Linked DNA regions of Caenorhabditis elegans. The protein of the gene in region 2 purifies or fractionates together with the protein of the main gene of each other region. This does not show direct contact. Each region holds a gene or a part of one and is shown on either strand. Other genes may lie near its edges.

Region 1 (13,065 bases), on a different chromosome or scaffold from region 2:
ATTTTTAATGTAAAATTGCCTATTTTTGCCTTAAAAATGGATGAAAAACTGGTTGAGGCTCACACACTACAAACTACAACATTTCTAGCCTCAACCAATTTGAAAGTTGAATTTTAAAGCTTTTTTAGCAGAAAAATATGGAAAACTCAATGGTTTTTTCTTATATTTGGTGTTATTATAGCGCAAAACTGTGATTTTTCTGCTGAAAATCGTGAATTTTCGCTGAAAACTTGGTTGAGGCTCACACTACAAACTACACTCGAGCCTCTACCACCGCCATTTTTATCCAATTTTCTGCACTTTTTCCAGGATTTCCTCACCATTATCATCTATAGACGGCCCCAATTCATCGCCACGTATCTCTTCGTCCAAATACTCGGAACCCGTGTCAGACGACATATCTGAAACGCTAAAAAATCCCTAAAAATCTGCAAAAATTCGAGGTAAAAGTATTAAATTTTCAGACAAAACTGGGGGGAAAGAGCTAACGAAGAGCTGGCTAACACATAGAACTCTTCATTCTGCCAGAAACGGAACAGGGGGTACAATTCAGAAAAAGCGAGGGCGGAAAAACAAGAACAAAAAAAGAACCAAAACGGAAACCCAAGGAGCAAAAAAAAAAATTCCAAAAAAAAAAATTGAAAAAAGATAGTTCACCGTAGTTCAAGACAGAAATGTTGTGTGCTTTTTGACGCAAAAATGATCAGGAAAAATTTTGGGACGCAGGGAGGGGACTAACAAAAATAACAAAAATCAATCAATAATCATCATAATCGTCTTGGTCGTCTCCGTAATCGTCGTACATGCTGTCATTTCCCTTCGTCACTTTCAGCGTTGCCTTCGCGTTCTTTTTGTTGGCAGCTGCAGCTGGTTTTGCGGCGGTGGTGGCCTTCTGGAATGGGAAAATTTGGTAAAAATTGGAGAATTTTGGAGGAAATTTGAATATTTTTTGCGAAAATTCGCAAAAAAATCAACAAAAACCCAAAAAATTTGGGTGAAAAAACCAGAAATTAGATAACTGAGAAAGAATTGTGATTTTTTGAATGAAAACTCGTGAATTTTGAAATTTTTGACAATTTTTATTTAAAATTGACCATTTTTCCCTGTTTGGTAGTAAAAAATACCAAAAAAATTGGCAAAAATCCAAAAAATGTGCGTGGATTTTGAAAAAATCTAAATTTAAATTTGGTTGAGGCTCTGGCTACAAACTACAATATTTCTAGCCTCAACCATTTTTTGAGAATGTTCGAAATTTTGCGAAATTCGCTGAGAAGTGAATTTTTTTGGCTATTTTAGCAGAAAATATGGAGAATATTTTTAAAAAAATCGTGACTTTTCAAAGAAAAATGAAAAAATTTGAATATTTTCAATTTTCAATTGTAATTGATCATTTTTTTGACATGCTTGGCGGTAAAAAATACCAAAAAATTGGCGAAAATCCAACAAATTTGAGTGGTTTCTGAAAAAAATCTAACATTAAACTTGATTGAGGCTATGACTACAAACTACAGAGTCCTCAGCCTCAAACAAGAGTATTTTCTTCCAAATTAATCATTATTTGCTCCATTTTCGCTCAATTTTTCGGAATTTTCGCCTGAAAAATTGTAGTTTGTAGCCTTTTACACACTTACCGCTTTCGTCTTCTCGGCAGTCTTCTTGGCGGCGCTGATCTGTTGAAGGAAGGTGACCATTTTCAGGATTTCGGCGGGTGTCACTGAAAAATTCATCGTTTTTGAGGAGAATTCCTATACAGGCTTAAAATATTCAATTTCCAGAGGATTCCACGAAACAAATCTCAAAAAATCATGATTTTTCATCATTTTCCGATGCTTTTTAGACCATGGAAAATTGGTTGAGGCTCAGGCAACTTTGTAGTTTGTAGCCATAGAGCCTCAACCAAATTTCTTGAAAACGTGATTTTTCGTTTAAAAAATTTTTTTTTTTTCGATTTTCTCAATTAAATCCATGAGGAATTACGGAAAATTTGTATTTTCAAAAGAAAATTGGGCAATCAACTTTGGTTGAGGCTCGCAGACTACAAACTACAAACGTTTCAGCCTCAACCAAAGCAATGGTTGAGGCTGGAAATGTTGTAGTTTGTAGTGTCTGAGCCTCACTCAAAATGAAAATCGGATTTTTCATTAATTTTTTGTGATTGCAATCAATTTTTGGTGTTTTTCGTGGTTTTCAGGTGCAAAATTGACGATTTTTCTCATTTAGAGGCTAGAAATGGTGTAGTTTGAAGTGTGTGAGAGTGGAAATTGTGCAATTTAAAGAAACATCGATTTTTGCCACCTAAAATCACAATTTTCAATAGAAAACTGTTTTTTTTTCTCTCAAATCCGGTAAAATAGTCGAAAAATCTTGAAAATGGGTGAGGCTGACGAAAATGTGTAGTTTGTAGCGAGAGCCTCAGCCAAAGATTTTCGGCACCAAAATTTACAGTTTTCGATATTTTTTTTGGATTTTTCGAGGTTTTAGGAGTAAAAAATAAAAAATCGGTTTTTCCCAAATTTTCGTCTAAAAAATCGAATTACGAACTCTCATCAGTGACGGAAGTGAGAAGTTTTCCAATCATATCTCCATAACAGGATGCTTTACTCCGTGAAGCCAAAAATCCACCGACACGCTCTCCCCAGTACTCGAAATCGGCTTTCGACATGATATTCGCATAGGTCTTCGCTTCGTCAGTGGCTTCAGCAGAATCATCATCTCCGAACAAATCACGAGCCAACGCGAGATCATTTTTCTTCTGTATCGCTTCTTTTTCAGCCGACGTCAGTTCTCGTCCAAGTGATTCCATGGCGAATGTTGGAGCGGCTTTCAGAGTTTTCGGAGCTGCGGGAGCGGCTTTCTGTGGTGGCGGTGGTGCGTCGACGATTTTCACGGGCTCTGGAGCTGGCTCCGCACGCTTGAACGTCGACACCTCGGGCTCGAAATCGTCGTCTTCCCAGTCGGACATTGTTTCCTAGAGTTTTCTGTAATATATTATGTTGAGTTAATTGCGGGAAATGCGAGAAAAAACATGAAAAATTGAAGAAAACTGTTAAAAATTGGTTGGTTGAGGCTCAAATAGTAATGTAGTTTGTAGCCGAAGCCTCAACCAATCCCGCAAAATCATGGGAAATGATAGTTTTTGAGCATTTTCGTCGTGAAAAGTGAGTTTTTCACTAAAAAATTCGAGAAAAACCACAAAAAATTCAATTTTTTCTATCAAAATCAGGCTTTTAGGCATTGAGTGAGGCTCAAATAGTTTTGTAGTTTGTAGCCAGAGCCTCAACCTTCAAAAAAAATTAAAATTACAGAGAAAAAACTAATTTTTCGAGCATTTTTTTCGTTTAAACATGGTTTTTTCTCGATAATTACGATAAAATTCGAAAAAAAATCAGAGAAAATGCAATTTTTCACCAAAACTATCGGATTTTAATGCATTTTCAGGCTTTTCGCTGAATTATTTTAATATTTTCCAAAAATTACAACAAAAAACCCGGGGTTTTGGAAATTTGCCAAATTTCCGACGTTTTAAAACGTTAAAAGCCCCAGAATCCGAGAAAATTGGGCAAAAAGTCACAAAAATAGTTTTCTTCAGTGAATTTTTCGATTTTCAAAGCTTCCGCTTGGTTTTTATTGGATATCTTTGAGGAAATTCGTTAAATATTGCGAAATAATTAGCTGAATCTAGAAATAAAGTGACGTGGAACATCTAGACCTAAAAATGCCTTAAATTCACATTTTCTCGGGAAAAATAGGTGTCACGCATGGTTAAAAGGTTCCTTAACACTTGAAAAAGAAAATATAAACTAAAATACGAAGAAAAACGAGCTAAAAATCAATTAAAATCACCCGAAAAACGAGTTTCAAAATGCAAAAATTTCATCGAAAAAATAAATGGCAGAGTACGCAAACACCGCGCTCGGTGTTTGCGTACAATCGCTTACCGTAGACTAGCTGGGGGAAATCGGGCGGCATAAACACACAGAAATATTCCTATTTAAATAGGAAAATAAATGTAAAATAAACTAAAAAAAACTCGGAAAATTAGGCGAAAATCAATCAAGAGGAATATTTAAATTATGAAATTGAAATTTTCAACCCGAAAATGGGTCTCCAGACGACGGGCGAATGTTCAGTTGGAGCGGCGGCAGGCTTTGGGTCGAATCATGTGTGGCACGAGTTCTGGAAATGATTGAAATTGGATTTTCTTAGAATTTATCGATTTTTCGGGCAAAAAACATTTTTTTATTCAAAATTTCATTGCCTACCTATTCGGCGGGCTTCCGAAAACATTAGGCCTATCAGGCATCTGATAAGGTGACCCAATTTGGCTCACAGTTTCCCCGAAAGTCGGGAATTCTGTGGGGTCCTTTGGCGGTGTTGAATGTCTGAAAAAAAAATCAATTTTTAATGAAAATTTTCCGATTTTTTGACAAACTTTCTCGGTGTGCTCATTGGCGATAAAAGAGCGGCTCCAGCCGACGGGAAACTATTGGAAATTGGCCCGTTGAAGCTGGATTTTGCGGAAATTGGTGGTGTAATCTGGGAGGATTGTACTACTGGATGACCTTGTGTCGCTTTACGAAGAAGCTCGGATCCGCGATCGAAACACGCTCGAACCAGTTGTTGGAGGCCTTGGTGAAGGGAATATTCGAGAAGAACTGCGCCGACACCCTGGAAATTGAGAAAAAATAGACTGAAAAATTAATGAAAATCATTGAAAAATCAGAAAAAAAGAAAAGTTTTGCGAAATTGTTCACTAAATTTATCAATTTAAAAAAATGGTTGAGGCTCAGAGACTACAAACTACAATTTTTTATGGCCTCAACCAAATCTGAATCGATTTTTTAAAAATTTTTAATTCCAAAACTGGAAAAAAATTAAATTTTCTAAATTTTCGTCTAGATTTCTTAAAAAAGTGAAGAAAAATCTAAATAGATAGCATAAATTCTTCAATTTCTGGTTTGGGTGAGGCTCACACTACAAACTACAAAATTCGCTGAGCCTCAACCAATGGGAAACGCTGAAAAATCATTATTTTTGGCGTTTTTTCAGTGAAATCAAACAGAAATAGATTATTTTAAACTATTAATTTAACTTAAATCTGTAAAAAATTATAGAAAAAATCGTATAAATTAGCAATAATCGTGGTTGAGGCTCGGAGACTACAAACTACAAAGTCGGCTGAGCCTCAACCAATTTGTTCAGCCGCGACTACAAACTACAGTTTCGCGAGAAGTCTCGGTTATTTTTACGATTATCTTCTAACTTTATCAATTTCCAGACAAAAATCTTTTTTTTTTTCTGCCAATTTTTCGGAAAAAATGGTTGAGGCTCACACTACAAACTACGACTTTTTATAGGCTCAACCGAAAATGAATAAAATTTACATTTTTGCCAAAATGTTTAATTTTGGAATGTTTTAAAATGCTAAAAATGAAAAAAAAATTCTAAAGAAAAATCAACATTCATAACATCAAAATCTCGATTCTTTTGATTGGTTGAGGCTCACACTACAAACTACAAAATTCGCTGAGCCTCAACCAATGGGAAACGCTGAAAAATCATTATTTTTGGCGTTTTTTCAGTGAAATCACACAGAAATCGATTATTTTCAACTATTAATTCATCTTAAATTATACGATTTATCTGTAAAAATTGATAGAAAAATTATTTAAAATCGTATAAGTTGGCAATAATCGTGGTTGAGGCTCGGAGACTACAAACTACAAAGTTGGCTGAGCCTCACCAATTTACCTGTGCGTAAAAGTAATACAATTCTCTGAAAAATCGTAATTTTTAATCGTTTTTTTTTGTTGTAAAATCTCTCAAAACATTTTTATTTTGGTAGAGGCTCACACTACAAACTACAACTTTTCCACAGCCTCAACCAATTTTTTTTGATAAAAAAAAAGTTATTTTTAAGGTTTTTATGATGAAAATCAACTCAATATGTGTATTTTCTCAATAAATTCCACATTTTTATAAAGAAGTCCTGAAAAAAAAAATTTTCCGTAAAATCCCACTAGAATAATGGTTGAGCATCAGACTACAAACTACAATTCTTGCTGAGCCTCACTCAAGGAAAAATTCGTAAATTTCATTGATTTTTCCTTATTTTTTGCCACATTTCTCAAAAGAAATCCTGAAAAATGTACCGCATAAAGTGCCCAAAAACCTTCCGTTTCAAGAACTTGTCGAACACAATCAAAATAACCGGAATATTTGACAGTCATCGAAACTGCTGATAATCCTGTATCCATATTATCAATAAGTGTTCGTGTTCCTTGAATATACATTCGATGAACAATTGTTTCAAATGGATAAAGTATCAAATCAGTTAACACCATTGATGATGTTTGAGCGAACATTTGGGGCAGGAAATCGTGATAAGTCGTCTTTTCCGCCGGCGATTTTCGGTTTACATATCGTTTCGCCATTCGGAAGAATTGATGGTAAAGGGCCGTTTGGAGCATGTAGTGACCAACTCTAAAAAAAAAAAATTTTTTCAATTTTTGTTGTTGAAAACTGGGATTTATTCGATTTTTCGATGCACAATTCATGAATTGGTTAAGGCTCAGAGACTACAAACTACAAATTTTGGAGCCTCAACAAATTATCTTCGATTTTTGCGAGTTTTCAGCCGTTTTTCAACTTTTTCGAACGAATTTTTCTTTGAAAAACTAGTTTTTTTGAACAAAAATGTGTTTTCCGGCTTTTTATCTTTAAAAAACTGTTCGAAATTTAGTTGAGGCCCAGAGACTACAAACTACACTTCGTTCTCAGCCTCACCAAGTTAAATTTCCTTAAATTTCCAATTTTTCGTTGGAGAATCCGGGAAACATGAAGACATTTTTTAAAATTTTCCCACTGAAATCGATGAGTTTTCACTAAAAAACACTAAAAACCAGGAAAAATCAGTAATTTTCACATATTTTTCCTTGGTTGAGGCTAAACAAAAATTGTAGTTTGTAGTCTGAGCCTCAACCAATTTTTCATATTCTGACCTGATTTTCGCGTATTTTTTCACTAAATTTGGTCATTTTTCGTGATTTTCCAGCAAAAACTCACTGAAATCCCGCAGTTGGAATAGCCAAATGAATAATCGAGAATCTCCTGGACGGATCTCGTCCCGAAGTCAAAAAATATCGCATTCGATCCACACCCTTCACAAGAACATCCAGAATTTTATTGTCTTCACCACCAATTCCGGATTCGCTCTGAAAATTGGATTGTTGAGGCTGAGAGCTTTTGTAGTTTGTAGTTTGTAGCCTACTCGAACAGTTTCAATGAATGATGAGATGTAGAATGGAGTCATTGTTACAAATGTTACTCTGAAAATTATCAATTTTTAATTTTTTTTTTCGTCTTAATTCCGTTACCCCTTCAGAACAATATGTTTCCAATACTTTTCAGCACTTCCATTAACCACAAAAGTACGTGGCAACCCCATAAGATCGCCGAGCACAATTTCCGTAACATTCGTGAGGCCCCAGAGCACACTTGAGCCGATTGCTCCTTTCCAGAATGTCTGAATTCCTTGTTTAGCGACAGAATTACAGATTACAGGAATCAGTGTGACTGGTGTCAGGTGGAGAGATCCAGCGAACTGATGAACTTGACATTGACGGCGGAGCACACCGCATGGATGGGAAATTAGCGATTTTGTGATGACGCTGAAAATTGTGTAGTTTGTAGTGGTATTTTAGGCGGAAAATTGAAAACAAAATCCTTTAAAATCGATTAATTTAAGCGCAAAAAACATTTAAACTCGTTTTTTTCATTTGGGTGAGGCTCAGCGAGAAGTGTAGTTTGTAGTGTGAGCCTCAACGGATTTTGCAGCCATTTTTAAGCCAAAAATAGTCAATTTTCGCCTTTTTTTTTCCTCGAAAATTCTCAATTTTAGTCGATTTTTAGCCGAAAAATTACAATTTTCACGAAATTTGTACTAAAATTCGATAAAAATGGCGATTTTGAGATTGGGTGAGGCTCAGCGAAAGTTGTAGTTTGTAGTGTGACCTCAACGAACTTTTCAGCCATTTTTTGCCAAAAAATACGCAATTTAAAGGGAGAAAATACGAAAATGACAGCATAAAATCAAAATTTTTAATTGAAAACTGCGTTTCTTTAAATTTAAATTCGTAAAATTGATTGAAATCTCGATTTCGAGATTGGGTGAGGCTCAGCGAGAAGTGTAGTTTGTAGTATGAGCTTTAACGGATTTTGCAGCCATTTTTAAGCCAAAAATATACATTTTTCTTTAAAAATTAGCGATTTTCGTCGATTTTCAGCTGGAAAATCACAACTTCGCGCTATAATTCGCTTAGAATGGCGATTTTTTAAAAGGTTTTTGCCCAGAAACACCAAATTTCAACAAATTTCAAATAAAAAATCATTAAAATTTCCATAACCTTAATATTATATATAAAACAACTAAAACCAGCAATATTAAATTGAAAATTCAAATTTCTCAGTTATTTTGGCGAAATTTCGAGCATTTTCAAAATGGTTGAGGCTAGAAATGTTGTAGTTTGTAGTCTGAGCCTCAACCAAATCAGATTTTTCGGTTTTTTTGGGGAGCTTGTGTGATTTAAAGGGAGAAAATACGAAATTGACCACATAAAATCTGAATTTTTAATTGAAAACTGCATTTGTAAAAACTTAAATTCGTAAAAATTTATTGAAATCTCGATTTGAAGATTGGGTGAGGCTCAGCGAGAAGTGTAGTTTTTAGTGTGAGCCTCAACGAATTTTTCAGCCATTTTTAACCAAAAATAGACCATTTCTTCGAAAATTCTCAATTTTAGTCGATTTTCAGCTGAAAAATTATAATTTTCATGAAATTTGTACTAAAATTCGATAAAAACGGCGATTTATTTGAGTTTTTCCCAAGAAACTACAAATTTAACATAAAAATCATTGATTCTTTAAAAATAATTTCCACATTTTTTCGCTAAAACAACTAAAACCAGCAATATTAAGTTGAAAATTCAAATTTCTCAGTTATTTTGGCGAAATTTCGAGCATTTTCAAAATGGTTGAGGCTAGAAATGTTGTAGTTTGTAGTCTGAGCCTCAACCAAATCCGAGAATGAGGGAATTATATCGAAAAAGCATATTTTTTTGCAATTTCGACAAAAAAACTAGTTTTTAAAACACATTTTTTGACAGTTTTCATCAATAATTTGATAATTTTTTTCTTTTTTTTTGGTTGAGGCTGTGTAGTTTGTAGTGTAATCCTTACTCGGAGAGCCCAAGGAGTGCTCCGGCCAGCGGATCAGTTGTCGCTTTTCCCGGTGGTGGCGAATGATTCTGGAAATTTTGGTGTGAACTGTGCTCGGAATACCCTGACGCTGTTGAAGGAAGCTGGTGGGAAGATGATGAAAAATCTGAAAAATTCGGCTTTTTGTATTTTTCTAGATTTTTATAACCCGAATGAAGTATTTTAACGATTTAAAATCCAAAAACTCACCATTTTGATACTGGAAGTCATCAATATCATTGTTAGTTCCTTGTGGGAACGCAGACCGGTTCCTAATGAATTGTGTAGGCATTTTGGGCCTGAAATGTGAAATTTTAAAACAAAAATCTGAATTTTCGGCAAAAAATGAGTTAAAATACCCGGAAAAACGCTGAAAATCAAGAAAATTGGATTAAAAAACAAAAAAAAAATTGAGCGCCCAAAAATAATGCAAACGCGCCCCACTGGCCAAAGACATTTCTCAACGAAATTCAATACTTTTTTCTTTAATTTTTCATCTTTAACTTGATTTTTAGATCGTTTTTAGTTATTTTTCACTTTAAAAAAATTAAAAATTAAAATTCTGCGTATTTTAAACCCTAAAACCCCCGAAAATAATGACAATTTGGGTCTGAAAAAGTAGAAAACGTCAAAAAGTGAAAACGCATTGTTTTTTGTCCAAATTTCGCATTTTTTCGTGATATTCCTGGCTGAAATTGCATTTTTGGCCCTTTAAAACATTTTAAATATTGATTTTCCAGGTAAAAAATGTCAACTGGCGCAAATCTTCTCGTCATGAACGACACATGCAAGTCAAATCGTTGGTGGAAGACGAAACAGGAGAAAAAGTTCGTTTTTTATTGAATAATCCCCCTGAAAACTCCAAAAAATTTGCAGGCACTCTGAAATCAAAAAGGTGAAGACCCTAAAATCCACGTGGGACAAGAAAATGGAGTTGAAAGCGAAAAAAGATATGGTCAAAAGGGTTCAGGACAATATTCGAGAGAAACAAGTACAAGAACGACAAGAAAAGAAGGAAAGAAAAGTGGAACAGGAGAAGCGACGGCTGGAAAACGAGAGAAAGGCTGAAATTGTGCAGGTTCGTAGCTGGAATAGTAGGCTACAAACTACACGAATTTCTGAGCCTCAACCAATTCGTTTCTATTCGAAAATGCCAATTTACGAAGCTTAAATCGCTTGTTAAATCCTATAAATCCTAAAAATTCGTTAAAAAAGCTTGCCGGATTGGTTGAGGCTCAGACTACAAACTACAAAACCGGCCGATCCTCAACCAACCTTCAATGACCTAAAAATCATCGGATAACGCTGAAAAATCATGATTTTTTGTGTTTTTTTTCGTGAAATTCCTTGAAAATTGAATATTTTGAAGGATTGTTCTATAAAAACTACCAAAAAATACATGAAAAACCGATCTAGTCTTAGTTGAAGCTCAGACTACAAACTACAAGGCTGGCTGAGCCTCAACCAAACTTTTTTGGCTTGAAAACACTGAAAAATCATGATTTTTTGCGTTTTTTTTTTGAAAAACCAATTATAAATCAAAATAGTATTATTACAACGCATAATTTGAAGTTTTTTCCTGCAAAAATTCATTGAAAACCTGCTCAAATTGTCTATAATTTTTGGTTGAGGCTTAGACTACAAACTACAAAATAAGTTAGCCTCAACCAACCTTTCCATGGCGTAAAAAGCATCGGAAAACGCTGAAAAATCATGATTTTTCGAGTTTTTCTCGTGAGTTCCGTTGGAAATTAGATATTTAGCTTGAATTAAGGAATTTCTCGGTAAAAATTATCAAAATTTTACAAAAAAACCGCAAAAAAGAGAGGGTGAGGCTTAGGCTATAAACTACAAAGTTGACTAAGCCTCAACCAAACTTTTCTGGCTTGAAAACACTGAAAAATCATGATTTTTCGAGTTTTTATTCTGGAAAAACCAACAATAAATCAAAAATTTATTACTATAACGCACAATTTGAAGATTTTTCCTGCAAAAATTCATGGAAAACCTGCTCAAACTGTCTATAATTTGTGGTTGAGGCTTAGACTACAAACTACAAAATAAGTTAGCCTCAACCAACCTTTCCATGGCGTAAAAAGCATCGGAAAACGCTGAAAAATCATGATTTTTCGAGTTTTTCTCGTGAGTTCCGTTGGAAATTAGATATTTAGCTTGAATTAAGGAATTTCTCGGTAAAAATTATCAAAATTTTACAAAAAAACCGCAAAAAAGAGAGGGTGAGGCTTAGGCTATAAACTACAAAGTTGACTAAGCCTCAACCAAACTTTTCTGGCTTGAAAACACTGAAAAATCATGATTTTTCGAGTTTTTTTTCCGTGAAATTCCTTGTAAATTGAATATTTAGCTTGAATTAAGGAGTTTCTCTGAATAAATTATCAAAATTTTGCAAATAAAAACCGACAAAAGACTTGGTTGAGGCTGAGACTACAAACTACAAAGTCAGCTGAGCCTCAACCAACCATTTTAGCGGTTAAAAAACGTTCAGGAGCTGCTTTTTCTTCGGAAAGTATAAGAAAGTTCTTGATAAAAAACATTTATATCAACTACAAACTACATTATTCTTTCAGAAAATCACGAAAATCCACAAGCTGAAAAAGACGAAGAAACGCCAGCTCCGCTCCATTCAAATGCGTGATACTACACAAGTGACCAAGTGATTCCAAATAATTTTTTTGTTGATTTTCATTCATTTTCCGTTGTTCTTGTTGTCCATTTTCATTAATAAAAAAGTGTTTCGAAAAAAAAAATGTTCGTGCCAAAAATCAGAAAATTTATTGGATAAAAAATCTCGAAATTATTGCGAAATCGGGGGGATTTATAGCGATCATCTACTCATATTAATGAAATTATTTATAATTTTGAAAATAACTTTGGAAAAAAATCGGAAAAAAAATAGCTATGGTTCTAGGCCTCAAATTATGTCAAAAAAAATTCAAAATTTTACGAAAAGTTCAATTTTCCCCAAAAAATTATCCACCGGCCACCGAATCATACATATAAATGGACTCTAGGACGTTTTAAACATTGTTTCACGGAATAACAGCTTTCAGAATCGAATTTTCCAGTGAAAAATGCACACAGTAGCTCCTCGGAATCGTGAACTGCTCGGCGAGCCTCAACAGGATAAATTATGAATAAATTATTCATTATACAAAAATATGTGAAAATATATTTTATTTGACAGTTCAAGAATATTACACAATCAATGACACTTGGAACAGAACTTTAATTTCTGTGTGGGGACCGAATAGTTTCACATTCACCATTGCTTTCTTCTCATAGCCACATCTTATAACAATTCCAGTATTTTGTTTCAGTATGTACTCATTGAAACACAAGTTATACGTATACAAATTTATACGGCCAAATGTTTTTACACTGTGTTGTATTGTCGATCAGGGGTGTGCGGATAATAGCCGATTTAGCCGTATTTTCGCCGATCGGCTAATTCGGCTAACTCGGCTAATATTAGCCGAATTATCCGTTAGCCGACTTTTTGGCAGTTCGGCTAATACGTAGTTATCCGTTTGCCGATTTTGGCCGATGTTAGCCGAATTCGCCGATCGGCTATTTCGGCTAATTCAACTAACATATTTTTTTGGAAAACAAAATGTGGTGAATTTGTATGATTTTTTCCTATTTGAACAGTCGTTCATCCCTGAATTTGCTCAATAACAGTGAAAAAATTAACCCAAAACCTGAATTAACAGAATGGACAAAAATAGCTTAACCAAATGAATATTTTCCGAATTAGCCGAATTAGCCGAAAATTAGCCGATTTGAATGACT
Region 2 (12,758 bases):
CGGAGGGCGCGGAGGATTCGGATTCGGAAAGAAATAATTTTTTTCAAATAAAATTTTCTGAAATAAATATTTTTCAGAATTTATTTACAATTTTTTTATGTACACAAAGAAGCAGAACCCTAAGGAAAGGCTGAAAAGGGGCGGTGCCTATTATTTATCAAAGGGGGCGGAGCCTGATTTGTGGCAGGGTGGGGGGACATTGAAAAAATTTGAAAAATTTGAAAAAAAAACTAGAAACAGAGGCAGAAAAAGTTACATTTTTACATAGAAAAAAATCTACGACAGTGAAAAAACTGGAAAAAAGTGGGCGGAGCTTAAAGAAAGGGGCGTGGCCTTGAAAATATACAGGGAATGGATACCTTGAGAAAGTGTGATGAGAAAAATCGAGAATTTCAAGAAAAAATTTTTTATTATACATTAGTAAAAATTTTTCACTGAAAATTTTTGGCGAATGTGTAATAACAAATTTTTTTCGAGAGGAGAACACATTTTGGGGGCGGGGAAAAACGGGGGATCGTGGGAATTGGTAAAGTGGGAATTTAAAGAAGCACTAAGGGAAAAAATGTGTTTTTGGGAATTTTTTGAATTTTTCGAAATTTTTCGAAAAAAATTTTTCTTTACAAAACATTAGTTCTCGGTGAGCCGGATGAACGTGTCAAACGTCTTCTACTAATCACCGGTACCCGCGGTTGCGGGGGCGGCTCGATGACGTCATCCTCGAAATCGACTGGACGTGGGCGTTTACGGGTGACGCGGGTGACGCGGAGCATCTCCTCGTTTTGCTCCATTGTGCATTTTATCTGAAAATTTACATGTTTCAGTTGAAATTTGAGTTTCCCGCCAAAAAAATTGACTGAAAATTTGAATTTCCCGCCAAAAATTGATTGAAAATTTGAATTTCCCGCCAAAAATTGATTGAAAATTTGAATTTCCCGCCAAAAGTTGACTGCAAATTCAAATTTCCCGCCAAAAATTGATTGAAAATTTGAATTTCCCGCCAAAAATTGATTGAAAATTTGAATTTCCCGCCAAAAATTGGCTTTAAAAAACTGGAAAAAAGCGGGCGGAGCCTATTATACAGTACCCCAAATTCAAATTCAAAATGAATTTAGGCTCCGCCCATTTTTATTCTGAAAAAAATTGAATTTTTTTTTTTGAAAATATTATACGTTTGGCTAAATAATACCATTTTCATACTAGGGTACTGTAGATTAGGCTCCGCCCACTTTTAACACAATATTTTCAAATTTTAGTTAAAAAAATAAATTATTACAATATTGGAAAAAAAATTAAAAAATTTTATTATTACGCACTCGTCAAAAATTTGAACCACTGATTTTGACGAATGTGTAATAATTTTTTTTTTTGGAAATTTCAGAAAAAATTCAAATTTTCAGTCAATTTTTGGCGGGAGTTTCAAATTTTCACTTAATTTTCAGCGGAAAATTCGAATTTTCAGTCAATTTTTGGCGGGAATTTCAAATTTTCACTTAATTTTCAGCGGAAAATTCGAATTTTCAGTCAATTTTTGGCGGGAAATTCAAATTTTTAGTCAATTTTTGGCGGGAATTTCAAATTTTTAGTCAATTTTTGGCGGGAATTTCAAATTTTCACTTAATTTTCAGCGGAAAATTCGAATTTTCAGTCAATTTTTGGCGGGAAATTCATAATTTTAGTCAATTTTTCGCCAAAAGCCCAAACCAACCTTCAAATCCGTGAGCATAAACTCCTCAGCCAACCATTTCTTATCTCCAAAGCTCATATTCTTACAGCTCCACAGTTGCCTCTGCAGGCTCTCCATAACACTTTTCGCACAAATCCGATCCGCAAAATCCAGCACCCGCGAGATTTCCACATCATTCAGCGGGAGCCGGCGATTGTACAGCACCTGGAGCCCAAGCTTCAAGGTAGGCAGATGCTCGTAGGTTAGGTTAACGGTACGCTCGTAGCCTTCACGGAAGTTTTTCGAAAAGAGCCCCGAAAAGTACTGAGAGCTGTGAGCCAGAAATTCACGGTTCACCTCGATCAGCTGACCTTCACAGCGGAGGAAGCAATTGGTCAAGCCTGGCATTTTCAGCCGCGGCTTCTGCAATTTGCTGAAGTCTAGGTCGTCATCCTCCTCGTCATCAGATACCATGTCATGATTCTCGATCCAGTTGATCTCCATCAGTAGGGCCCCATCTTCGTCGAGGTATTGGCAGAGGTGGTCGAAGTAGGCGAAGATCGGTGTCCCCACGATGGTATACTCGTCGTCGCGGATCCTTTGGATCCGGTCACTGTGTAAGCGGCGCCCGTTCTCATTGATGACGTGAATGTCGATGTCGAAGTACTTGACACGTTGATCTTCCGAGTAGACCGACTCGTCGTCGATCACATTCACATCCTCCTCGTCGTCGTCGTCGTCGCTGGTGGTGGCGGAGGTGGATGGGCGGCTCATTTGGAAGCCCAGGGAGACGTACTTCTCGCCTAGGATCTCCTGGGTGTAGGTGTAGATAATGCTGGAAAAATTGGAATTTCGCAAAAAAAAATTTTTTTTGCAAAAAAAAATTTTTTTTTATTTTTTTTATTTTTTCGCAAAAAAAGTCCTGTAAAAAACTTTGAATAGACTTTAGGAGTTTTACACTAAAAATTTGGATTCTACGCAAAATTTGCAAAGTTTTGACACCCATATTGACCCTATTTGGTAAAAGTCGAAATTTGGGCCGAAATAGGCCAAAAATAAGCCGAAAATTGAAAATTTTCGGAAACAAGACCAAATTTGCAGGTGTGGGACTTTGACACTGAAAATTTTGAAATTTACGCAAAAATTTGCAAATTTTTGACACTTATATTAGCTATATCCTGGAAAAATCAAAAAATTTTTAATTTGGGCCGAAATAGGCCAAAATTAGGCCAAAAAATGAAATTTTGGAAATAAACTATTTTTTGAATTTTTCAACATGTGTTATTAGCAAATAAAATAAAATTTTGACTTTCAGCAAAATTTCCGAAAAAGAGACATCCAAAAACAAAATTGTGTGCCGAAATAGTCCGAAATTAAGCCAAAATAAAAAAAAACTATATTTTTCGTGTTGCTTGATAATTTCCAAAAATTTTATTGCCCGAAAACGCAGAGAACTGCAAAATTCGATTTTTGCTCAATGTGGCCTACTTTGGCCTAATTTGGCCTATTCTGGCCTATTTCGGTCCGAAAATTCTAATTTCAAATTACATAGTCAATATGGGTTTTGATATTTTCGGAATTTTTTCAAGTATTAAATCAAAATACTGGTATTTTGATTTTCGGCCTATTCTGGACTATTTCGGCCTATTTCGGCCCGAAAATTCCACTTTGACAGAACATAGTCAATATGGGTGTCATTATTTCAGAAATGTTGTGGAGAATTCAAATTTTTGAATAAAAAAGTACCAAATTTGAAAACAAAAAAGTTGAGACCCAAATTTTCCAAAAAAATTTGAATTTCTCGGCCCCCTCACCAATTCCGATTCTGCTCCTCCCATGTGACCATCAAATTCTGATTTTTCGGCAGTGTTGACGGCCCGATCAACTCGAAATCATCAATAGCCCATTTCAAAGTTGTGTTGAACTCAAATTTCACGGGTTCCTCGTTGGGCTCCGCCACAATTTCCACGGGGTCCAGGCGGTGCATAAGTTGGCTGAATTCACGGTTCAAAGATTTTCCCCAGATGTCGAAGCCGAATTTTCGAGCAATTGGGATTAAATGGATCATACGGTCGGCTGAAAAAAATTTTGGATTTTTTTGAAAGTAAAAAAAATTGGAAAATTTTTTTTTTTGATTTTTTGGATTTTTTTTAAAGTTTTTGATAAGTTTCTTACCTTCCAACTCCCATCTGTTCTGAAAAATGCCAAAAATGTCCACAAGATCTTCAAATTCCACGTCACCAACGTCATACTCCTTGGTCTCCTCGTTCTCGAAGAGATAGCCCAGCAATGGACACCGACGCTTCACGTACTGAAATTTGTTCGTTTTAATGTGAAATAACAAATAGAAAAAAATTTTTGAGCCTAGCGGGGGTCGAACCAGGGTCTTCAGATTAGTAGGCGAGCATGTTAGCCACTGAGCTACTTGGTTTTTTTTTCAATTTTGATTTTTTAGGCTCGAAGCTGAAAAATTGGAGTTTGAAATATACTTTTGCAAGAACCTCATTTAGTCTGGAATCCAAAAATCTTAGATCAAGCTTAAGGCCCAGTGTTAGGCCTATTTTAGGCCTAATTTAGGCCTGAAACTAAAAAAATCGAACTTTGTGAAATGAATGTTAAATCAGCATTTTATTTCTGGTTGATTTTGAAAGTTGAGACTAAAATTGTGAACGAAAGCCTTTTTGGGCCGACAAGGCCACAGTAGGCCCGAAAATTAGGCCAAAATTTCGATTTTAGATTTATTTGATATAGGGGTCAGATCATATCTAATTTTTTGCGCTGATTTCGAAAATTAGATCGAAAGTTGCGCAAAAATGTTTTGAACCAAGATATGGGCCGATTAGGCCCAAAAAATTGGCCCAAACCTCAAAATTTTGGATTTTACAATTTGGGTGTTGAATCATATCCAAATTTTATGTTGATTTCAAATTTTCACATCAAGTTTATTTTAAAAAAATATTTGGGCCAATTTATGGCCCAAAAACAAAACTTTAGAAAAAAGCTACAGTAACCCGAATAAAATTTTCTAAAAATTTGAGTGTTATCTCCGATTCGAATCTCTAATTAGTTGCAACGTTATATGATGGAATGTGTCATGATGATTTATGTCAATTTTTTGCCACTCAAACATACCGCCGAGTTGATTTTCAGCTTCCGGTTTCCAGATTTCAGAATGAAGTCGCCGCCGGGGAAATTGATCTCCTTTTCGCATTCGAACGGTTTTTCTGGCTTTTTCTCAGAGTCATTTAGCAATTTGAGCTCTACGACAAACGTCATCTTTTCCTGCAAAAAAAAAATTTTTTGGATTTTTTTTTGGAATTTTTTTTATACTGTTTAGGTAGGGTAAGGTTTTTTTAAACTTTCAGTCATTTTTCCATTAAAAATTCGAACTCCACGTAAAATTTGCAAAGTTTTGACACCCATATTGACTACATTCTGAAACATTGAAAATTTGGGCCGATTTGGGCCGAATTAAGCCGAATTAGGCCGATTCAGGCCGAAAATTCCCTCACGGTGTCTAGCAATGGTAGCTAACCAGTCACTGATTATTCAAAATATTAAAGCCCGAAAGTATTGCAAAACTTGATTTTCGGCCTAATTCAGGCCTATTTCGGCTTATTTCGGCCCAAAACCCAAATTCATCGGAATATAGTCAATATGGGTGTCAAAACTTTGCAAATTTTACGGAGAATTCAAATATTTTAACTACAAATCGATAACTCTAAAAATAAAAAAGTTGGATAATTGGCTCAGTGGCTAACAGCTATGGTTTTGGCCTAGAGGTCGGTGGTTCGAGCCCGGATAGGGTTACAAAATTTTTTCTGAGTGTATATAACACACTTTTCACATTGGAAAGTTAAAACTATGGAGTTTTCAGAATTTTAGGATGAAAAATCTGAAGTATTTGGAAGAAGGCTTCAAGCTCCTGTAACTTCAAAGCTTTTAGGTTTAGCAAAAATTTTCCAACTAACAATTTGTAGCTCAAAACTTCCTCTACATAATGGTTATATTTTTAAATTTTGAAATCACCGTAAATGTTCTATAAGTCTATTACAGTCCCCCCCAACACTTCCATTTTCCCCTTTCGCTTGGAGACGGCCGAATCGATGTTTTTGTCGGGTTTTGGAAGCGAGGAGAGAGCGCACATGACATTTACACACACACATACGCCTAGACATGAGTATTTTTCGGTTTTCTGCGTCTCTTCGTCTTATACACTGTCTCGGCGCTCATGAGATGCGCGCACAAGCTTTTCTAAGCTTTTGGGGGCAGAGAATAGGAAGAGGGAAACGTCGTATATCTATGCAAGTTGAGGAGGTAGAAGGAAATTGTCAACTGAAAAGTTGTAGAGCTTGATGAGCTGGTTATTATGGTAGTTGACAAAATTTTTATATTTCTGATACTGAAGGAGTTACAGACGTTTGAAGTTGGTGGTCCTAGGTACTAGGTACAAATTTTGATTTTCAACTTCAACATGGTATATCTCAATAATGGTACATGCTACAAAAAAGTTATCAACAAACAAAATGTACCTTACATCTTTCTCTACAAGTTCATAGTTGACAATTTTCCCGTATCTCTATCCATCTCTCAGCTGGAGCCTTAGTTCGAGCCCCTTACCTTCTGTTCGGCAATCTTCAACAGGCAAGGATTGACCAATACGGTGTGAGCTCCTCCAAATGTGTACTCCTGCTCCCAGTCAACGACTGGCGGCTCGACCTGATGTGTGCATTTTATTTGCAGCCGAGACACTTGGTTTGGAGTGAGTGCTGCCACGTGGAGAGAGTAGTAGCTGTGATTCTCGCCTTGCTTGCACAGTTTCAGACGGATCGCCCTGAAAATTCAATTTTCAGGTATTGGCACTAAAAAATTTAGATTCTACGTAAAATTTCCGATAATAAGTCCCCCATATCGGCTATAATCTGAAAAGTTGAGATTTTGGGCCGGAATAGGCCAAAATGGGCCGAAACGGGTCCGAGTTTTTCATCAATTTTAAATAGGCTATTATGAATTTAACATTTACTTTATTTTTGTGCTAAACTGCTCTTGAATCGGCAATAATTGGGTATGGCCTAGATTTGGCCTAATTCGGCCTAGATACGGCCTGAAAATCCATTTTACCAGAAACTAGTCAATATGGGTGTCATATTTTCTCAAATTTCCAGGACAATTCAAAAAAGTTAGTCTCGGGCTGAAAAACTTCAAAATAACGGAGTTATGCAAGTGGCTCAGTGGCTAAGACGGATGGCTATGAATCTAGGGGTCGTAGGTTCGACCCCCCGCTAGGCTCAAAAATTTTTTACAGTCTTCAATTGGCTTATGAAAATAGATAAAAGACCTGAAAACTACAAATCCCGATTTAAACGGCCTGTTGGCCAGAGCCCCCTAATTTTTAGACCCTAACTTTCAAAACGCCGTAACTCAAAAACCAAGTGTCCTAGAAAAAAGTTGTCAACGTACAAAATATAGCTGAAAACTAGCTCTACAATTCTTTAGTTGACAATTTTTAATATCACTGATAGTCATTAAGATACACTCTAGCACACCCCCCTCCCCCTTTTCGCGCACCATTGCCCTCCGCAGTCATTGATTTTGTAGGCTCCGATATTGAAAGAGCCGTAACTCTAAATCCACTGCACCTAGAAATAAATTTTCAACTAACAGAATGTAGCTGCAAACTAGCTCTACAAGTTTACTGTTGGCAATTTTTTGATATTTCCTATAGGCGTTGAGATATACCCTATGCTACACCCCCCCCCCCCCTTTTGCGCGCCATTGATTTTCCCGACCCTAGACTTCAAAACGCTGTAACTCTAAAACCAAGCGTCCTACAAAAAAGTTGTCAACTACAACAATGTAGCTTAAAACTAGCTCTATAATTTCTCAGTTGACAATTTTTTGATTCCGCTATTAATCTTTGAGATATACCCTATACTACCTCCCCCTTTGCGCACCATTGATTTTCCCGACCCTAGACTTCAAAACGCTGTAACTCTAAAACCAAACGTAATACAAAAAAGTTGTCAACTACAAAAATGTAGCTGAAAACTAGTTCTACAATTCCTCAGTTAACAATTTTTTGATTGCTCTGATAATTTCCGAGATATACCTATATATACCCCCTAGCTTACCACTCAGTCTTGCCGAGCTTCATCACCGCCTCCTTCTTGACCTGCCATTCGGTTTCTCCGTCGAGCTTGTACTTTACAGGGATCTCCTCTTCATCATCCATGATTGGCGAGCCGATTGCCGAGCCAAGCTCCTCCGGGGGGATTGCCGAGTTTCCGCAAAATAAAGGCGAATATGCCAACTACTAATAACAGACCTTTCTAGTGTGTCAGCTGAGAGGGTATGCAGAGGGGCGCTGGTGAGTGTGTCTCTATGGATGGGGCAAAAGAGATAGGCGGACAACACAGCTGGGAGGGAGTGCCGGAGACGGAGAGACATCAGAGATGCCGAAGCGGCCAGAGAAAGCGAGGCCCGGCTGATCGACTCGCCCTCCCCGCCCCACCCGAACCCCTCACCACCCAAACAATTCCCCGCAACTTCTCCGTCTCTTTTACCGCACTACGACGGCCAATGTGTTCTTTTTTGCGCGCTCAACACACACTCACAAACTCACTCACTCACGCACACTCACAGACACATGAGGCCCGTCTCTCTCACTCGTCTCCGACCAGCAGTCCACCACCGCTTGGCCAATATACATTGAGGGTTTAGATTGTGTCGAATGCTAAAAATTGACTAAAAATTGAGAAAAAACGGTGAAAAATGGGCTTGGCTGCAAAAAGTTGCAAAATTGAATTTTGCACAAGTGGCTCAGTAGGTTACAGGAATGGATTTGGATCGGAGGGTATCGGGTTCGAGCCCCGCTGTGGACGATAATTTTTGCAGAGGCAACTCACTAAGATTTACTTACTTGCAACTTTGCCATACGCCAACAACGATTTTCAGCTAAAATTTTGTCAATTTTAGCCCAGCCTGTTGAATTTTCGTGTGAACCGACAAACTGTAAAGTTAAAAAAATTGCATCTAAAATCAACAAGTTGAAGTTTAGAGCCGAAAAAAAATCAAAATTGGAATTTTTCACGAATGGCGCAGTGGGTAACACGGATGGTTACCACCCAGAAGGTCACAGGTTCGACCCCCCGTTGGGGTCAATTTTTTTTCTTGTTAAATTTGCTAGGATTCATCAATTTAAATGTCATAGAACACAGCTTAACTTTTAAATACAGATTTTCAACTCTAATTTGTTAAATATCAGTCTAAAATCCATAGTTTCCTAACTGAAAAAATAAAAATAACATATAAACCTAAAGTTTTAAGGTCAGAGCAAAAAAAAAGTCAAAATCCCAATTTTGCACGAATGGCGCAGTGGGTAACACAGATGACTACCACCCAGAAGGTCACGGGTTCGACCCCCTGCTAGGGTCAATATTTTTCTTTTTCACTCATACCAAACAATTTTAAAGCATAGTCTATTTGTTGGTTACGGTAGATGCCGATTCGTCCAAATAAAACGGGCAATTTACGATTTTGTTGATGATAAGATCGATGAGAGACGCAGAGACGGCGGCTGGCTACTCGCAAATTAGTAGTGACCGATATGCGGGGGAAAACTGATGATATCAGCTGATAAGGACATCCGGACACACAGAGCAGTTTTGGACTCAATTTGGGCCATGTATGGCATAGAGCCAATAGCGGTGACCAATTTTCCCTAATTTTTTGTGAGTTGTAACTTAAAAATTCAGATTCTCCGTGAAATTTGGATAGTTTTAACACCCATATTGGCTAGGTTTGAGCAACTTAAATATTTGGGCCGAAATAGGCTGAAATGAACCGAATTCAGGCCTAATATAGGCATGTTCCAAGTCATGATAGTTTTTAACTGCGTTGTCTTTAGCTTTAGAGTTTAAAAAAAATTTTGACTCTAGCGGGGGGTCGAACCCGTGGCCTTCTGGGTCATAGCCATCCCTGTTACCGACTGCGCCACTTGGTCGAAATTTTATTTTTTATCTTTTATTGCCAGAAGAATTATTTTAGGGCATTTTTCAAAGTTTCTGGCGTCAAAATATTGAAATTTTGGGTCGAACTATCCAAAAAACCGGTAAAATTCGAAAAACCCTTTGACAGATTCAAGATCTTAGTAAAAACTGCAAAATGTTACTTGCACACTTTCAAAAAATAATTAAATGTGTGAAACGCAATTGAAAAAAAAATGGCTACGCTGGGGGTCGAACCCGTGACCTTCTGGGTGCCAGCCATCTCTGTGACCTACTGCGCCATTTGAGCAAAAATTTTATTTTCCAACTTTTTTGTGTAATAACTCAAAATTCACGGTTAAAAGCGAATTTTATCGCAAAATCTGCCAATTTTTGTTCCGCAAGTCGTTGTTTTTCAAATTTCCACTGAGTTTTCCTTGTTTACCCCCCTTTCCCCTATGCCCCCTAGGTTCCCCGGGTAATCATTTGTTATCAGCGAGGTCTGCTATACATTTCCCTATTATTTCCGTCTCCAGCTTCTTTCTTCCTCTGCAAACTCTCGAAGCTTCTGCCCCAGTCGGTTACTATGGCAACCCCCTTCTTTAAGCTTCACCCCCTTCGTCCCGCTTAGACCCTTTATTCTCGATTTCCCGCATTTTATTATGTTTTTACTGAAATTTTTAGGTTTTAGGTATTAGAAATAGGTTGGTTAAAAAGTTTTGGAAAAGTTTAGTGAGTTTTGGAAATTTTTAGAATTTTTTAGAGCTAATTTTCGATTTTCCTGGAAATTATGTCCGATTTTGCGGTTTTTTGCAAATTTTTTGACCAAAACCTTGAAAAAAATGATTTTTTGTTAGTTAAAATTAGTTTTAGAAACGTTTTTTGAAAAATTTTTTTTTGGCATTTTTTCGAAAAAAAATGTTTTTTTCAAAAACAAAAAAAATTTTCCAGATTTCTCGTGTATGTCAGACGATGAGTGGGGAGATTTATTAGATGTGCGTTTTCAGCATATTTTCAAAAAAAAATTCGATATTTTATTCAGAATTTAGACACCGAACCACCCCAGCCAGCACCACCACCTCCCCCCAATTTGCCGGGAAATTCGAAAAATTCGCGGCCGAAAAGTAGTGGACTAGATTTTTTATTGGACTCTGACTTGGATAAGGTGATTTTGTGACTTCTTTTTGGGAAAAAACTGCGAAAAATCCAAAAAAAAAAGGCTTTTGGCCTATTTTGGCCTGAATTTTGGATGATGCTATAAGACTGATTTTCAGGAACCGCAGGCACCTAAAACTGTAAATTTTGCAACAAACCGGGAAGAAAATACATCTGAAATGAGAGCGGTAAGTTTAAAAAAAAAAATGTTTTTTGAAAATTTTTTTATTTTTTTTCTTGACCCAAATTTTTCTAAAAATCTGTATTTCAACGTTTTTATCTTACCTTAAGCTTTAAAATGACACCCATATCGCCTATACCCCGTTAATTTTCATTTTTGGATCAACTTTTGGGTGCCTACAGTATCCTCGTGGCGGGACCCTAAACATCAAAATTACGGGATTCTAAGCAATATTGGGGTTATTTGAAAGCTGGTAATATCATAAATGGCCTATCGAAGAGTAACATTCCAAAAATAAGACATTTTTCAAAAAAAAAATTTTTTTCAAAATTTCGAAAAAAAATTATTTTTCAAAATTTCCTAAATTCAGGCTGGTCGTTCTACAAATGCTCTCAGCGACCTATTTGGCACAAGCACGGGCTCTGGGCTTGGAGCATCAGGTGCGGCGTCGGCTCCACGGAGACCCGCAGGCGCCTCCACCCTCGACGACCTTTTTGGCACGGCGCCAAGAGCTGCTACAGTAACCCCAGGGGTTACTGTAGCCGCTCCGGCGGCTTCACAGCCAACGGCTACTGCTCCACCACCGGATAATTTTGATGCGGGAAGGATTTTGAGGTAAATTTGAAATTTTCGAAAAAAATTTTTTTTTCAAAAATTCAAAAAAAACTTAATTTTTAATTTTTGTTAATTTTCGTTACTTTATCACTTTCAGCTCACTGAGAGCTTTAAAATGACACCCATATCGGCTATACTACCCTAATTTTTCAAAATTTGGGCATTCTTCGAGTACCTACAGTACCCTTCGTAGCGGGACCCAAAAATCGGAAATTAGAGGACTATGGGCATAATGGATGTTATTTTGAAGCTAAAAAGCTGAAAAATGAGATAAATCAAACAAAAATTATCTGAAATCGATAATTTTGAGAAAATTTCAAAATTTAACGTTTTCGAAAAACACATTTTTTGAATTTTTTTCAAAAATTCGAAAAATTTCAAATTCAAATTTTTGTTCGTTTTTTGATATTTTATCGCCTTCAGCTCTCTGAGAGCTTCAAAATAACACCCATATCGGCTAGTTTCCGTCATTTTTCAAAATTTTAGAATATTTCGGGTGCCTACAGTACCACTCGTGGAGGGACCCAAAATCCAAAAACTAGAGGGTTCTGAGCATTATTGGGGTTATTTTGGAGCTGAAAACGTGAAAAATCGATCAAAAATAAATACTTTAATCATAAATCAATAAATATTGAGAAAATTTTGAAATTAAAAATTTTCGAAAAAAAAAATTTTTTGAAATTTTTTTTTCAAAAATTCAAAAAAAAATTTTAATTTTTAATTTTTTTAAATTTTGGCTATTTTATCACCTTCAGCTCACTGGGAGCTTCAAAATGACACCCATATCGGCTATACTACCCTAATTGTTCAAAATTTGGGCATTATTCGGGTACTACAGTACCCCTCGTGGCGGGACCCAAAATCCAAAAATTAGAGGATTATGGGCATAATTGGTGTTTTTGATGCTGAAAAATAGAGAAATCAATAAAGTCGATAGGAAATCAGCTTTAAAAAAACTTTCTTTGAAATTTTTTTTTCAAAAATTCAAAAAAAGTTATTTTTTAATTTTTGGTAATTTTGTTTTTTTTTCAGTATTTTATCACCTTCAGCTCACTGAGAGCTTCAAAATAACACCCATATCGGCTAGGTTCCGTCGTTTTTTTTTTAAATAAGAGCATAATGGATGTTTTTTTAGGCTAAAAAATGAAAAAATCGATAA

What was found.
Region 1: the proteins of Y43F8C.3 (region 2) and eif-3.J fractionate together in Caenorhabditis elegans (co-fractionation; one large-scale study listed by BioGRID). This does not show direct contact.

What each region holds. Positions count from the first base shown.
Region 1 is NC_003279.8:13,425,402-13,438,466, reverse strand, and holds eif-3.J (Eukaryotic translation initiation factor 3 30 kDa subunit), read right to left. Parts: upstream 2,979-13,065; 5' UTR 2,963-2,978; coding exon 2,542-2,962; intron 1,715-2,541; coding exon 1,632-1,714; intron 893-1,631; coding exon 758-892; 3' UTR 501-757; downstream 1-500. Other genes in the region: spr-5 (Lysine-specific histone demethylase 1), read right to left, coding at 321-399; slc-25A46 (Solute carrier family 25 member 46), read right to left, coding at 4,089-4,176, 4,263-4,382, 4,433-4,668, 6,153-6,483, 7,066-7,214, 7,271-7,328, 7,377-7,670, 9,238-9,382 and 1 more; Y40B1B.7 (Coiled-coil domain-containing protein 86), read left to right, coding at 10,003-10,082, 10,132-10,333, 11,844-11,933.
Region 2 is NC_003283.11:19,614,452-19,627,209, forward strand, and holds Y43F8C.3 (BTB domain-containing protein), read right to left. Parts: upstream 8,176-12,758; 5' UTR 7,896-8,175; coding exon 7,795-7,895; intron 6,498-7,794; coding exon 6,284-6,497; intron 4,946-6,283; coding exon 4,796-4,945; intron 3,975-4,795; coding exon 3,839-3,974; intron 3,740-3,838; coding exon 3,478-3,739; intron 2,499-3,477; coding exon 1,706-2,498; intron 801-1,705; coding exon 618-800; 3' UTR 55-617; downstream 1-54. Other genes in the region: nlp-26 (Neuropeptide-Like Protein), read left to right, coding at 1-37; dyf-19 (Fas-binding factor 1 C-terminal domain-containing protein), read left to right, coding at 10,611-10,643, 10,691-10,813, 10,923-10,991, 11,355-11,599.